Oryzias latipes: one gene and its partners. Each later gene encodes a partner of the first gene's protein in a complex. Links are inferred from orthologs where the notes say so. Each region holds a gene or a part of one and is shown in the gene's direction. Other genes may lie near its edges.

Evidence for each region. Proteins that work in one complex are often made in the same cells at the same time.
Region 2: the proteins of ywhag (region 1) and calcium/calmodulin-dependent protein kinase kinase 2 are in contact, whole or in part, in a crystal structure (PDB 6Y6B), measured with the Homo sapiens proteins. The link is inferred for Oryzias latipes from reciprocal best matches to the Homo sapiens genes YWHAG and CAMKK2. Residues at the interface, in NP_036611.2 of Homo sapiens: Ser46, Val47, Lys50, Asn51, Arg57, Arg132, Tyr133, Gly174, Leu177, Asn178, Val181, Glu185, Ile222, Leu225, Asn229, Trp233; in NP_001257414.1 of Homo sapiens: Leu99, Ser100, Leu101, Gln102, Glu103, Arg104.
Region 3: the proteins of ywhag (region 1) and casp2 are in contact, whole or in part, in a crystal structure (PDB 6S9K), measured with the Homo sapiens proteins. The link is inferred for Oryzias latipes from reciprocal best matches to the Homo sapiens genes YWHAG and CASP2. Residues at the interface, in NP_036611.2 of Homo sapiens: Glu15, Asn43, Val47, Arg57, Arg61, Lys125, Arg132, Tyr133, Pro170, Gly174, Leu177, Asn178, Val181, Glu185, Glu213, Asp214, Lys217, Asp218, Leu221, Ile222, Leu225, Asn229, Leu232, Trp233; in NP_116764.2 of Homo sapiens: Asp137, Leu138, Ser139, Leu140, Pro141, Phe142, Pro143, Val144, Cys145, Glu146, Leu150, Lys152, Lys153, Leu154, Ser157.
Region 4: the proteins of ywhag (region 1) and cftr are in contact, whole or in part, in a crystal structure (PDB 5D3E), measured with the Homo sapiens proteins. The link is inferred for Oryzias latipes from reciprocal best matches to the Homo sapiens genes YWHAG and CFTR. Residues at the interface, in NP_036611.2 of Homo sapiens: Lys50, Arg57, Arg61, Lys125, Arg132, Tyr133, Leu177, Asn178, Val181, Glu185, Ile222, Leu225, Asn229, Leu232; in NP_000483.3 of Homo sapiens: Arg766, Gln767, Ser768, Val769, Leu770.

Annotation. Positions count from the first base shown.
Region 1 is NC_019871.2:9,989,402-9,993,632, reverse strand, and holds the start of ywhag (14-3-3 protein gamma), read left to right. Parts: upstream 1-1,431; 5' UTR 1,432-1,588; coding exon 1,589-1,675; intron 1,676-4,231. UniProt on the Homo sapiens protein: Adapter protein implicated in the regulation of a large spectrum of both general and specialized signaling pathways. Binds to a large number of partners, usually by recognition of a phosphoserine or phosphothreonine motif.
Region 2 is NC_019870.2:16,114,568-16,118,067, reverse strand, and holds part of calcium/calmodulin-dependent protein kinase kinase 2, read left to right. Parts: intron 1-204; coding exon 205-258; intron 259-1,821; coding exon 1,822-1,873; intron 1,874-1,975; coding exon 1,976-2,109; intron 2,110-2,314; coding exon 2,315-2,351; intron 2,352-2,466; coding exon 2,467-2,488; intron 2,489-2,577; coding exon 2,578-2,666; intron 2,667-3,500. UniProt on the Homo sapiens protein: Calcium/calmodulin-dependent protein kinase belonging to a proposed calcium-triggered signaling cascade involved in a number of cellular processes. Isoform 1, isoform 2 and isoform 3 phosphorylate CAMK1 and CAMK4. Isoform 3 phosphorylates CAMK1D.
Region 3 is NC_019874.2:20,112,259-20,115,022, forward strand, and holds part of casp2 (caspase-2), read left to right. Parts: intron 1-199; coding exon 200-266; intron 267-576; coding exon 577-668; intron 669-758; coding exon 759-941; intron 942-1,266; coding exon 1,267-1,395; intron 1,396-1,491; coding exon 1,492-1,582; intron 1,583-1,841; coding exon 1,842-2,042; intron 2,043-2,764. UniProt on the Homo sapiens protein: Is a regulator of the cascade of caspases responsible for apoptosis execution. Might function by either activating some proteins required for cell death or inactivating proteins necessary for cell survival.
Region 4 is NC_019864.2:3,359,752-3,362,787, forward strand, and holds the end of cftr (cystic fibrosis transmembrane conductance regulator), read left to right. Parts: intron 1-295; coding exon 296-401; intron 402-2,026; coding exon 2,027-2,239; 3' UTR 2,240-2,536; downstream 2,537-3,036. UniProt on the Homo sapiens protein: Epithelial ion channel that plays an important role in the regulation of epithelial ion and water transport and fluid homeostasis. Mediates the transport of chloride ions across the cell membrane.

The DNA of each region.
Region 1 (4,231 bases):
CACAAGCTCCCTGCTCTGCGCTATTGCAATGCATCTACTTGCAGACGAATACATCCATTGACTTTTACTTTTTTTCTCGTCTGAGATGGAATCTGGCAAGAGACGGTACGGCTGAATAGCTCCAATATTGCTCGCCATTTTTGTTGCACCGCTAGCGTTAGCTTGGGGTTGTAAGTTAGTGGGAGAAGTGTAACCACACCCAACACCGAGCAAACTTCTAATGAACCACTGCCACTCTGCAGAAACTATGTCCTAGAAACGGACACAGAATTTTTTTTTTTAATTATTTTGCCCCAAAACAGTATAATGATAATTAAAAAAACACTGGAAATTTTTTTTTAAATAGATTAAAAATGACTGGAGTGGGACTTTAAAGCTTGAATGCTGACAAACACATGATACTATGAGCAAAAAAGGCAAAGGTCGCCTTTTAATTAAACCTTGTCTATGTAACAGAATTAACATCTAGTTTCAAGACTTTGACTTTTGTTCAAGTTAACCCATAGCTGTGTTCAGCTTCAAAACTATAGTGGGGGTAAAAAAGCAGTTTCTTCCTCAAGATCAGGATGTTTCAGCAAAATATAAAATCACCATGAGAAAAAAGTTATTCTGATTTAGTTCAAATTCAGAACTCAAATGAAAAACAAAACCCAAAAGAAATTGCCAACAATATTTAAATAATCGGAAAGTGGCGTGAGATTCTGGCAAAGCCTCCCCATGGCGCGGTGGCAGTTGTATTTGTGAATGTAGCATTACTGGCATTGTTCCAACACTTCTACGGCTGTACAGTAATCCCCCGCCCATTCGCGGTTTAATATTCGCGCCCCGCCCATTCGCGGGTGGCCACAGATGACGTGACGTCAGAAGCATGAGGCACAGAACAGCGCTCAGTCCGCAAATTTTGAAAAACGATTTACTCTGTACTTTACTGTAAAGTATTGTTTACGCGTTTAAGATGCCATCCAAACACCCTGCATCATCTCCAGCTTCTGGAAATGAACCCAAACGGCAGAAAAAGGTTCTGACTCTGCAGAGGCTCTGGCTCTGGGAGTTTTAAAACAGCGTCAATCATTCGCGGATTTTTGTTATTCGCAGGGGGTGAGGAACGTAACCCCCGCGAATACGGGGGGATTACTGTATAGCAAAAAAACTGATTGGATTTCTTTGGAACCGGAAGCAAGTAATTTGCTCTAAGTAACATCACACTTCCTATACAGTCAATGGTTTGGAAACAAAGGGGGCTTTCGGAAAGCTGAAGCCCTGGAAATCACAGCCGTTTTACACGGCCATGCCCACAAGCCTGGCCCACTATCCCCCATGTACGGAGCGTTACATCATTGGCACAGACACCCACCTTCCCGAGTGATGACGCAGCCCATGGAGGAGAAGCAGGAGGAGGAGGAATGTGAGAGGGTGGGGGTGAGGAGAGGGTGTCCCGTCTGCGCGCAGCTCAGTCAGACAGCAGAGAGCAGCTGCAGCAGAAGGCTCGTGTTAAGTTTCACTGCATTGCGATTTCAAATATCGATTATTTTACCCACATAAGCCACCCGAATAAGCTTGACTAGGCAACCAAATATCATAGAAGAAAATGGTTGATCGCGAGCAGCTGGTGCAGAAAGCCAGGCTGGCTGAACAGGCTGAGCGGTATGATGACATGGCAGCTGCTATGAAGTCGGTAAGTCACTTTCCAGAGAGGATGAAAATCGTGTGAGTGATGGTGAGTCTGCTGCGTCTGCGTAAAAACGCGCCACGGCTGTAAATCTGCGCGCACGCTGGCTCAATTTTACCGGCGCACTGATCCAAAAAATTCGAATTTAATCATAATTTGCTCCACAGTTGAGGCAATGTTGACACCTCACGTCCTCTTTTTTTTGGAAAATTATTTTTCATTTTTTACTCAGCAGTCGGGTCCAGACTTTCCGGTGTTTGGGCGGTGCCTCTGTCGGTTGTACATTTTATTGAAAGGGTATTAGAATGAAATGCATGCAAGCCCCACTATGCATCATCTGCCGCTCATCATATAATGGCCTTGCTCACTTCCATTAACTGCCCCCCCCCCCCCCTCTTGTAGTACCCCACCTCCTCTCCCTCCATTATGTTGAATTCATACAGTTGGAGCCTCTGCTACATCATGTGAGCTGCCTCCACCCCCATCCCCCATTCTCTTATACTTATCACTTAAATTATAACGATAATAATTACCCACAACTGCTCATGTTGATACAAGGCTTAAGGGCATTATCTGAGCATGATCACCTCAGGAAAAAGCCTCTCTAATCCTTCATTTCATCAAATAGGAGGCAGCACTAGAATATCTGCTGTCATATTGCAGAGACTTATTTCTATCCCAGACGTTTTAGACTCTCGTCTGTGCTCGTGTCCGTCCTGAGTGTGTCAGGGCTGAAATCCAGGGGCGATTTAAAGTTATTTCAGGGGGACGACCCTGATTGAGCAGTGCAATATATGATGGGAAGAGGATGACATGGCTGGCTTGCCACACATTAGCTCTCTCAGCTCTTATTGGCTGCTCAGGACTAAGTCTTTGTCTGCTTTTTCTTCCTCTTTCCCCCTCCCTCTCTCCTTTGGGGCCCTTAAGAAATTTTGACACCGGATGCACCGGTGGGCATTAAGAACTGCTGTGTCACACCAGCTCACAGTGAAACCAGCAGCATCCAGACTTGCCAGTCCATGCCCAGATAAAGAGCCCGGCACGGGAGGAACATTGTGTCTTAATGCCCCTGTAGAACATCAGAGCCTATTTGGATCGTTTGCCATGAAGGGTTTCTGGTTGCAGGTGGTGAGGAGGGATTCCTTTGCCTTTCTTGATTCTTTTGAAGAAGAGGTGGGATGGGGTGGCGGTGAGGGGTGCCCTTTTATTCGAAGGGAATCCCTTGCCACTGCATCCACAAATGACAAATGAGAGGCTGTCACCTTCGTGTTCCTCATGAAAAATGCAACGCTGCTCTTCGTGGTTATCAATTAAAGAAATGGCCTTCACAAATCAGCTTCGACCAGCAGCGTGAAACCAGAAAAATCAATCCAATTGTTAAAAAAAAAAAATTTTTTCTTGACACCAGCAAATATTTCCTTCGTCATTCAAATAACGGATGGGCCACTCTTAATGACCTTGTTGTAACCCTTCAATAATGACAATTGAACGCCAAAATGTTTGATGTACGCCGAGCATAGCTGCAGTTCCAGCAGTGATCGCTGCAATCATTAAATTTTAAGTGCTCCTCTGTTCGTGCGCTCTACAAAAATTATTATCAGATCAATATGAATCTGCTTCATTTCATAGCGAAAGCCTCACAGTTGTCGCCTGCGGTCAAATCGGATCATTGCGTGTGCATTTTTGGACAGGCCCTGTGAAGGCAATTCCATCTGTGCCAATTTAGTGACGTCACGTGTGCCATCTTTACGCCCCTCTGACTGAACAGAGAAAAATTGAAAGCGTTGGTATAGTACAGCTGAATATCAGTGTGTCTTTCCTGCATATGTAACAGCCGTTTTTGAAAACTCCATCGATCTATGCCAGCACAGAGCGCCTCTTCCAATCATTTACCCAGAGTGGTATGACCTCTGTGCAGTCATACTGATCCATCCAGATCCAAAATTATCTGTCCGAGTCAGAGTGATGTCACATCACGGAGCTTAAAACAGGTAAAAAGGTCACTTAGAGCCGAAGAGAAGGTCAGTGGGACACGTGCAGTGACAGTTTTCATTTACACTGCAGCTGCCCTTGAGTCCTTGTGGGAACATTTCTGTCTCCATCCTTCTCGTGCCCCCCCCTCACTGGAGCAATCTAAGTACAATATAATTTCTCACTAGCTAGCATTAGATGTACACGTGGCAGCTGGAGCTACTGATGTCTAAATGAATGGATTGCCATGGAAACTAGGAATTGGACAAGCCCAATCTCACTCATTCGCGTCACTGCAGACGACACTGACCGAATGATAGAAGGATGGATCCTTTCTCCGGATGAGCCAAACTAATTGTCATTGTGCAATGATTCCATTGTTTTCTTTCATTGCTTTACAAATGTAGTTTGTGGGCCTCAGGAGAAATTCTTTAAGTGCATCCCTATAGAGTGATTTGCCGTCATTGCAATCAGACTGGAAGGGGAAGATGAGTTAGCTGTTTTATAACAGATTGTTCTTAGCAAATTTATTTCAACAGTTTTTAAAAGATAGAAAAAAGCCTTCCCTTTTTTAATATTTCGTGAAAGATT
Region 2 (3,500 bases), on another chromosome or scaffold:
AAAAGCACAAACTGAATAGTTGAAACAGAACAAATTCAAATTTCTCATTTCTTGCTTTAGTAATTGTTCTCTTTTCATTGTGAACCTTCATCCCACTCACATTGCTCATCATTCCGGATTTTGATTTGTCTAAAGTGGGTTTGCTGCTTTTTTATCCTCGTCAGTCTCAGTTGCCGGTCTTTGTTGTTTCCTTTCTCTTCTCAGGGCTCCTATGGTGTTGTGAAGCTGGCTTACAATGAGGATGACAACACATATTATGTGAGTTTCTTTCCCCACACGCACCAGATTAAACGCATCTGTAAAGGTTTGTTCTGTCTCAGGTTTACTTCAGCTATTACACTCCAACATCGCTAACTAATGCTTTAAAGACCCACTCCGACTTTCTTCAGATCAGAGGTCCTAATAAACTGCAGTAGTTTACTAGAAATTTGCCTTACAGTTGTGGGTGGGACCGTTAGTGTGGTGTAACCCCGCCCCTTTTGCTTTTCCCATTGCTGAGAACTCTGTTTACATGTTCTCCTGCTAGCTTACAGCCCCTCACACTCCCAGCCTAATATTACAGGTGCAACAAAAGTAGTGAGCAATATTGGAGCCATCCAGCCGTACAGTTCTGAGCCAGATTCAAGCCCAGAAAAGGAAAACCAAGACGTTCATGGATCTATTTGTCTACAAGAGAGAATGGAGTGGAGTTGGGAGACTTTGGTCCGCCCATCGCAGCTTCTGCTCCTGATTCACAACAACTTAAAGAAAGAAATGCTTAGAAATGAAAGTTTATTTGTTCCTTTCATGAAAATTGATGTCCAAATGTTTACATGTTTGTCTCACATGTTGAACATTTTCATGATTAGAAGGGAGCAGAATTGAAAAATACAATTCTTATAATTATCTGCTCCCTTTTAAACATTGCATCCATCACCTGTGCTCGGATTTCACAATATACAGTTCAAATACACAGTAAACACATTCCATTCATTTAATACATGCATTCCAAACATTCCATTCAACAGTCAAGTTTGTAAAAACTAATTTGTTTGGCTTTATACATCCGTTTAAATTAAATAATATTTTGACAACTTTTTAACTGATTCTCCTGGGAAATAAGAAAAACACCAAAAACATAGTTTTTTATCAGAGTAGGTCTATGTTTTGTGGATTTTTTTTTTCGACTATTCAAATAAATCAACTTCTTAAAATGAAAAATCTCGATAAAGCATACAAAGTGTCTTTTTGCTAGCAATTATAAAACTCCTCACTTAACGCGACACGCAGCCCTATTAAAATCTATCATGCGGCTTTCGTGATTGTTGAGGGAGATGAAGAAGAAGAACTTTGACTAATTGAGTGGATTTCCATGCGGGTTTGATTATTTACCAACTGATGTTAGCTACCGGTATTGTTTCTGCTGAGAGTGCAGACTTAATAACCGTTCAGCTTTTTAATCAGAGCTTTAAATCCCAAAAGCTGGAGACCCACTTTTACAGCCTTTAGGTATTTTTGAAAGACTAAAGATTTGCCTGTTTGCCTTTCTGTTCACCAATGATTGTTTTAAGATTTCCTCTGTTATTTAACCTAAATTCTGGTCACATATTTCCAGGTGTGTTGATTATACTTTTGGGTCAAATCTTCCAAACTAGAGCTGATGGGTGCAACTTTGTCCAACAGGGAATGATGGGAAAAATTGGTGGAAACATTTTGCAGTTTGTCCACAGCCTGAGGCTCATGAAACCAACATTTTAATGGAAACTGAACTGTGACGTTTTGAAAGTCAGTTTTGTTAATTTTCTTTTTCCTGGCTCACTCATTTTCCCCTTTTCTTTGCAGGCGATGAAAGTGTTGTCGAAGAAGAAGCTGATGAGGCAGGCAGGGTTCCCACGTAAGTAAAGGGGCAGATGCATTAAACGCTCCTGAGACACTATGCACACATGCTGAAGGTCACGCTCCTCCCCACCTGTCATCTTGTTGTGACGTTTTTCAGGAAGACCAGCTCCTCGCGGCGCCCGAGCCCTCCCTGAGGGTCCGACTCAGCCCAAAGGCCCGCTCGAGCGGGTTTATCAGGAGATAGCCATTCTCAAAAAACTGGACCATCCTAATGTTGTTAAACTCGTTGAGGTGAGTCATTTAACCATGTTAAAAGCTACCATTTTTGTCCTGTATGTTAAAAAGCTAAAGTGAAAACTTACATTTAATCAATGCAGCCATGCTCTATTTATATATCATCAGAATAACATATTCCTCTGGAGGAATGAACAGGATTGAACAGGATTCTGGGTAGATGTTATTGAGTATTCTCTCTCCCTCTGTGACTCTGTGCCAGGTTTTGGATGACCCCAGTGAAGACCATCTGTACATGGGTATGCTTTGGCTGGACTCTCTGTACTTCAAACTAGACAAATCTTTTTCAAAGACTGCTTTTGAGAAACCAGTGCAACCTCTAACTAACATTCATTTCTTCTGTGTTTTTGTCAGTGTTTGAGTTGGTGAAAAAAGGGTGAGCACAGCCTATCCTGTTGAAGAAATGGTAAAACTGCAATAATACTCCCTCTTGGTAGTTATGATTGCTAACTGATGTTTCTCCAGGGCTGTAATGGAGGTGCCCACCGATAAACCGTTCGGTGAAGACCAGGCCCGTTTTTACTTCCAGGATTTGCTGAGAGGAATCGAGTATTGTGAGTCCATTATGACCCTTTTTGCGCCCAGTCTGTTGATTAAAAGTGGTTTAAATGTGTGATTCATCCTTTTGATGAATCCCTAACAGATCTATACTGGTGGATTTTTAAATCATCTGAGTCACATTTCCGCTGTTTGTGAAAAGAGCTGTGAAAAAACAGTTCCCAGTATTTTTTACATTTATAAACGGGTGTGGTGTGGTAGTTACACACATACAATGAGCCCGCAAAATAATAAACCTGTAGCAGCAAACAGAAGTCATGATGCAGAAGTGGATGTGATTTTAAGAAAATGGTAACTATCTTTTTAACAAGACCGTTAAGTTTTGGCCTGTACATAGAAACACTTCAACTGTATTTTTTTGTATGGAAAGTAAGATTATGATCTTTAACAAAGGTTCACCTCAATATATTGTAATGTAACTGTTTGGTAAGGACAAAGGTAAAAAGTTTCCTGTTGTTCTGAACTGTAGCTTCTATTTAGGCCCATTCTTCCGTGCAGATCTTCTCAAGAGCAGCAATGTTGCTGGGCAACACCGACTTTCCACTCCCTCCACAGATTCTCTATTAGAATGAAGTCCAGGGACTGACTAGACCTCTCCAGAAGCGTGAAATACTTTTTATGTAGCCACTCCATCATTGTCCGGCAACCCGTTTGGCGCTCATTGTCCTGCTGGAATATCCATTGACATTTCAAACTCTATGCTTTCACTGATGGAAGGAGGTTTTTGCTCCAATTTTCTCCATTCATTCTTTTATTAATATGGAACAGTCGATCTTTCTCCTTCGCAGAAAAGCAACACCAAAGCATGATGCTTCCTCTCCCATGTTTTA
Region 3 (2,764 bases), on another chromosome or scaffold:
GAATCCCGCTCTGTGTCTGCCTTTTATTCCTCACCCAGTGCGCCTGCTGAGTTGCTGAAAAATCTGACAGTAGATTACTGTAATACATTCAAATGAAAGATCATCACGCCGAAAAACTGCTGCCGCCCTCATCAGACATCAAAACCCTTCTCTACCAGATTAATTTGTTTAATCAGCCATTTTTTGTCTCATCTTTCAGATATCAGGATCTTCTTTGCCATATCCAACTCAGGAGGAGTTTGCTCCGAAGAGAGCAAAGACTCTCGGTGAGTTTCACTGTCATGCGTTCGTTTTTTTAGACATACAGTGGCCTAAAACTGAGCAAAAAAACAAATGTTTTGGAGCCAGCAGCTCCCTGACGATGGGGTCTTTGGGATCCCAACTGGTAACAGACTTTATAGTGTCTCCAATTTTTCAGACTGTAATGAGAAAAGTGCAGGTACTTGTTTGTATTAAGTACAAACACCACACCCCAGGGGTGACTCATTCACAGCCTTCCAGCACAAAGTCTGTGAGCTTCCTAAATAGTAACGTTAATCTGTTCCTTTGTTATGTGTTTGTATGTCTTCACCACAGAGTCCATGGAGTCCAGTCTCGATGCTGACAGTCCCATCAACACCCCCGTTCTGGCATGCTCAGCTGACTTTTACCTGTCTCACTGTCAACAGGTAGATCGCTGACCAGCAGCGGGTTGTTTCATCGTGTTACATTCCCTCACGTTGCTTATTCTCTGCGTGCTTCTGCTCTTCTGACTGAAGTCTTACAGGATGAATTCTTCTCCTCGGGGTTCAGTCTTGGTGATCAGTAACATCAACTTTGACCCCCGTGCTGCCCCTGAGCTTGACCCAAGGAAGGGAGGTGAGGTGGACGACGAGGTCCTCAGGAAGCTCTTCACTGAGCTGGACTATTCAGTAAATTTCCACAGAGACCTGACCGCTCAGGTGAGACTCTCGCAGCATAAATGAGTTGTAAAGTCATATATTTTATCAGTATGCTTTGGTGCAGACATTTAAGTGACGCTGCAAATCTGTCACAAGTTGTAGCTTCAAATATTTAAGTTTTTTGTTTCATTTATTCTTTTTTTTTACCAGTTTGGAGAGAAAAACTAGTTTGGATTGGTTAGGAAAACTTTGACAAGCTTTAACACATTAAATGCTTTTGTGGAGAGTTTTTTTATTTAGTTTTTCTATTAAAAAAAACAGACAATGAAATAGCAGGACTTTTAAGCTCCTGTGTAGCAACTACCATCCTTTATTTTTTCTCCAGGACATGAAGATGGTCATTGAGAACTTCTGCAGACGACCAGATCACCAGAAAGTTGATAGCTGTGTGGTGTGTCTGCTTTCCCACGGCGTGGATGGAGCCATTTATGGCACGGATGGGCAGCAGCTGGCGGTGAGCTTATCTTATATTTTTTGCTGTATGCTTTATGACTTTAAACAGCAAAGAAGCCGCGTTTGTTTATTTTAAATGTAAACTTGTCGTTTTCAGCTGGACTGGGTGTTTGAGGCCTTCGACAACGCACATTGCCCGCTGCTGCAAAACAAACCAAAAATGTTTTTCATTCAGGCCTGCAGAGGAGGTAAAAAAGGAGGATGTTTGCTCAAGATTTGGTAAAGCTTTGTCTTTAACTTGCTGGGATTTATGCTAGAGGAATAGAGTGTTGGAAAACAGATGGATGCAAACATATATGTATTTTTAAAAACTTTCATTCTAGTACTTTCTAGCTTTACTGATTAACATTTTGCCAACTAAAAATTGTGTTCAGCTTGCAAAACTTTTTATTTTTTGCCCATTTTAATTTGGCATTGCCTGAACTTAAGCTTTTTTTATCCTACCAGATGAGATGGACTGTGGCGTGGAGCAGATAGATGGGCCGGCGAGGACCTTTTCGCCAACCTGTGAACAGCGGGATGCTGGGAGGGAGGAGCAGGGGGACGCAGACGGCAGGCAGAGAGCGAGCACAGGGAGGCAAAGGATTAAACTGCCTCAGCGGTCGGACATGATCTGCGGCTTTGCTTCTCTCAAAGGTCAGAGAATTTGTAAGTTGGTCCCATTTGCTATTCAGAGCTTCATTTATTCATGAACTGCGAACCACGTTCATCAAATTGTGATGCAAATCATTTTTACCCAGTAATGAGCACATCAGTTGTGTTTCAGCTAAATAAAAAAAATTGTGATCAAAGAAAACATTTTTCAAACTGTTCTGAAAAGAAATGTCACTTACTGTCTTTATTGTGTTTGAGAATACATCCTAATCTGCCTGTAGGAACATGAACCTCAATACCTGTCAGAACATGATTGTGTGATCTTTTTATAACTGAAAAAGGAGCCAGGAAAGAATAGATTTCTATGTCGACATGTCCTAAAGAGGAAATCTTTTTACAAACATTTCTTCAACGTGAAAAAAAGCTGTTTCTAATTATTGAGATTGTCTTATTTTTTCAATCTATGTAGTCTGAGAATGTTTTAAGTTTATTTTGGTTGGTTTCAAACTTGGGAAAATAAGGTAAAAAGTGAAATTTAAAGTGCTCAGCATAAATGACTACACCCACTTTAATAAGTATTAATTTAATCAGTAACTCAATGAACAAAAGAAAAATTTCCAAACTTTCCACAAGTTATAGTTTTATTGAACACTTCTTTAATTCTATTACATGAAATAAAGGTTAATGATCTATCTTAGATCACATAATCTTCAGTTTTGCTTAAATTGGTTGAAGCAAAAATGAATACACCCTGGAACAAAAACTACTACATCCAG
Region 4 (3,036 bases), on another chromosome or scaffold:
GAAAGTTCATTTAGGCCTCTTCGAATGGAGACCAGGATGTGTTGGAGTTTCAGTGCAGATCACTAAACATAAGTTTACACTCACATGTACAGCCTGGTTGCATGTTTTGGTTTCAAACATATTTAATAAAATACAAAGATGACCCTGCAGATTCCAGTGCACCTGGTGACAATCTAGTCCTTCCAGGAACTTGGAGCTCTTTGTTTGTGAAGTGTGTGAGCAGAGATGTTAAATGATTCTTCTAATGTCTGATGTGTCCGTGGCCTTCCGTATTGATGTGTGTGTATGTGAACAGAACTCTGGTGATCCTGAGGAAGACCCTAAAGCAGTCCTTCTCCAACTGCACCGTCATCCTGTCGGAGCACAGAGTGGAGCCTCTGCTGGAGTGTCAGTCGTTCCTTGTGAGTCTCTGACAGATGATCTCCACGCTTCTTTTCAGAGACGTGATTATTATTTCTCTTTTTTTAATAGAGACTTAGGATGATCGTGCTTCTTTTTTTAGAGATACGGGATATTCACGCTGCTTTTTTTAGATGATAGATAGATAGATAGATAGATAGATAGGTAGATAGGTAGATAGGTAGGTAGGTAGGTAGGTAGGTAGGTAGGTAGGTAGGTAGGTAGGTAGGTAGGTAGGTAGGTAGGTAGGTAGGTAGGTAGGTAGGTAGGTAGGTAGGTAGGTAGGTAGGTAGGTAGGTAGGTAGGTAGGTAGGTAGGTAGGTAGGTAGGTAGGTAGGTAGGTAGGTAGGTAGGTAGGTAGGTAGGTAGGTAGATAGATAGATAGATAGATAGATAGATAGATAGATAGATAGATAGATAGATAGATAGATAGATAGATAGATAGATAGATAGATAGATAGATAGATAGATAGATAGATAGATAGATAGATAGATAGATAGATAGATAGATAGATAGATAGATAGATAGATAGATAGATAGATAGATAGATAGATAGATAGATGGGGAAATTTCATATATCTGTGGCAGCAAAAAAACGACATTCAGAAATAATCTAATAATAATAAAATATATACAAAAAATAGGTGGTCAACTGCAAATGCCTGATTCCTTATGCAACCCGCCGTTGTCGATTTTTTTTTTATTGTAAATTGTACAAATTGTAGAAACAGCAACAACTGCAACAAAATAACAATTTATAGAGATCTAGAGTGATCGCTTCTCTGCTTTTAGTAAAGATTAAGGATTATCGCTCCACTTTTTAGTGTAGAACTGCAGGATGATCACTCTGTTTCATTTCATAGCAATACAGGATGATAACTTCATGTGATACAGATCTAGGATGATCACTCTGCTTTATTTTATAGAAATGAAAGATGATTACTCTGCTTCTTTTTTTAGTAATCTAAAATGATCATTCCACTTCTTATTAGAGATGCAGGATGATCACTTTTTTATTTTTATAGAAATGCGGGATGATTAATCTGCTTAATTTTAGAGATCTAGGATCAGCTTTATCTTAGGGATATGATAACTCAGGTTCTTTTGTATAAAGTTTCAGGATAATCAATGTGCTTCTTTGCGTAGAGATGAAGGATGATCACTTTTCTTCTTTTTATGTTGATCTAGGATGATCACTCTGCTTCTTTATAGTGATGCAGAAAATCCATGAGCCACATTTTAAATATCTGTGATTATAGAACGAGAATCAACATGAACCACCCCCATGTTTTAGGTGTAGACATGTGTTTGTTTGGGATGGGGGCCGAGCTGCCGGTAGGGGATTACCCAGGACTTGAAGTGACATGGATCCATGAGAGTCAACAGATTTGATCAAAACAAGAAATGCTCTGTCAAACTCAATTGCTGCATGTTTCCTATGCTTAATGGGCAAATAAGAAAGCCATGTAGACAATCTCTAAGCATCAATAACAACAAATTGATTCACTGAATCAGTTATTATTGCATTATTCTTAGCCACAGCTGGCAAGTTAATAAAAGCAAATGGTTGACACAAGTGTATCCTTTCCTGAGGTAAACAGCTTCTCATGCCTCCCTCCTCTGCAGATGGTCGAGAATGGTGCCTTGAAAAACTATGAGTCCATTCAGAAACTCATGAGTGAGGTGGCCCACCTGAGACAGGCTATAAGCCCTGCAGACCAGCACCGTTTCCCAATGCTCCACCGTCTCAACTCCACCAAGAGGCCCCTGCCACAGACCACCAAGATCTCCTCACTGCCAGAGGAAGCTGAGGATGAAGTTCAGGACACCCGACTCTGAGAAGCCAGCTGGAAACACATCCATAGACGAGCAACAGGGCTTTGAACCTTTTTATAATTTGGGATTATTTTTAAAGCACTAGTTGTTAAAAAGGACAAATGTGAGCAACAGGTGTTGCTTTTGTTCAGCTGTAGATTTCTTTTTGAATGGAATCACATGAGCCTAAACAAACACAGAAGTGATGACAGTGCATTTTTGTGTAAAATGACTTATCAATGTTTGCCTTCAGATTATATCAGGTGTGTACAGAAAGAAGTTGAAGGCTGTAAATAAAAGTGAAACGTTTGCAAAACTTCAGTTGGTGCTCACAGATTTCTGTGAATGTCAGGTACATAAAGCACATCTGAGCTCAACCATCTGAAGTTCTGTGGATTTAGACGACTTGCTGTTGAAACACTTCACTTACTTTTTGCAAACTGACAGTGGATTCATTTTTTTCTCATACTTGCTCCTTTTTTAGTTATTTTTATAAGAGAGGTTTGGTTGGTTTTGAGTCCACAAAATGGTAAGACAGAAAGTGAACATGAGCGCTGGAGCGTGAGTGGGACGTTACCCATAGAAAATGGTTTAGTTCTGCCATCTTTTTGTGATACGGATGTTGGAACCAGACAGCGTCAGTCATTGTGTCCATGGAACCACTCTCACCAATCAGGAGTGACCTTGTTGGAAGGCCACACCCCTACCACTTGAAATCAGTGGCGGACCGTGTATTACACACCTGGGCCTTCAGTCGTGCTCCGTCTGAATCACTCAACCCCTCATGAACCATTTTACGATGCAGAAACGAGCTTTACATT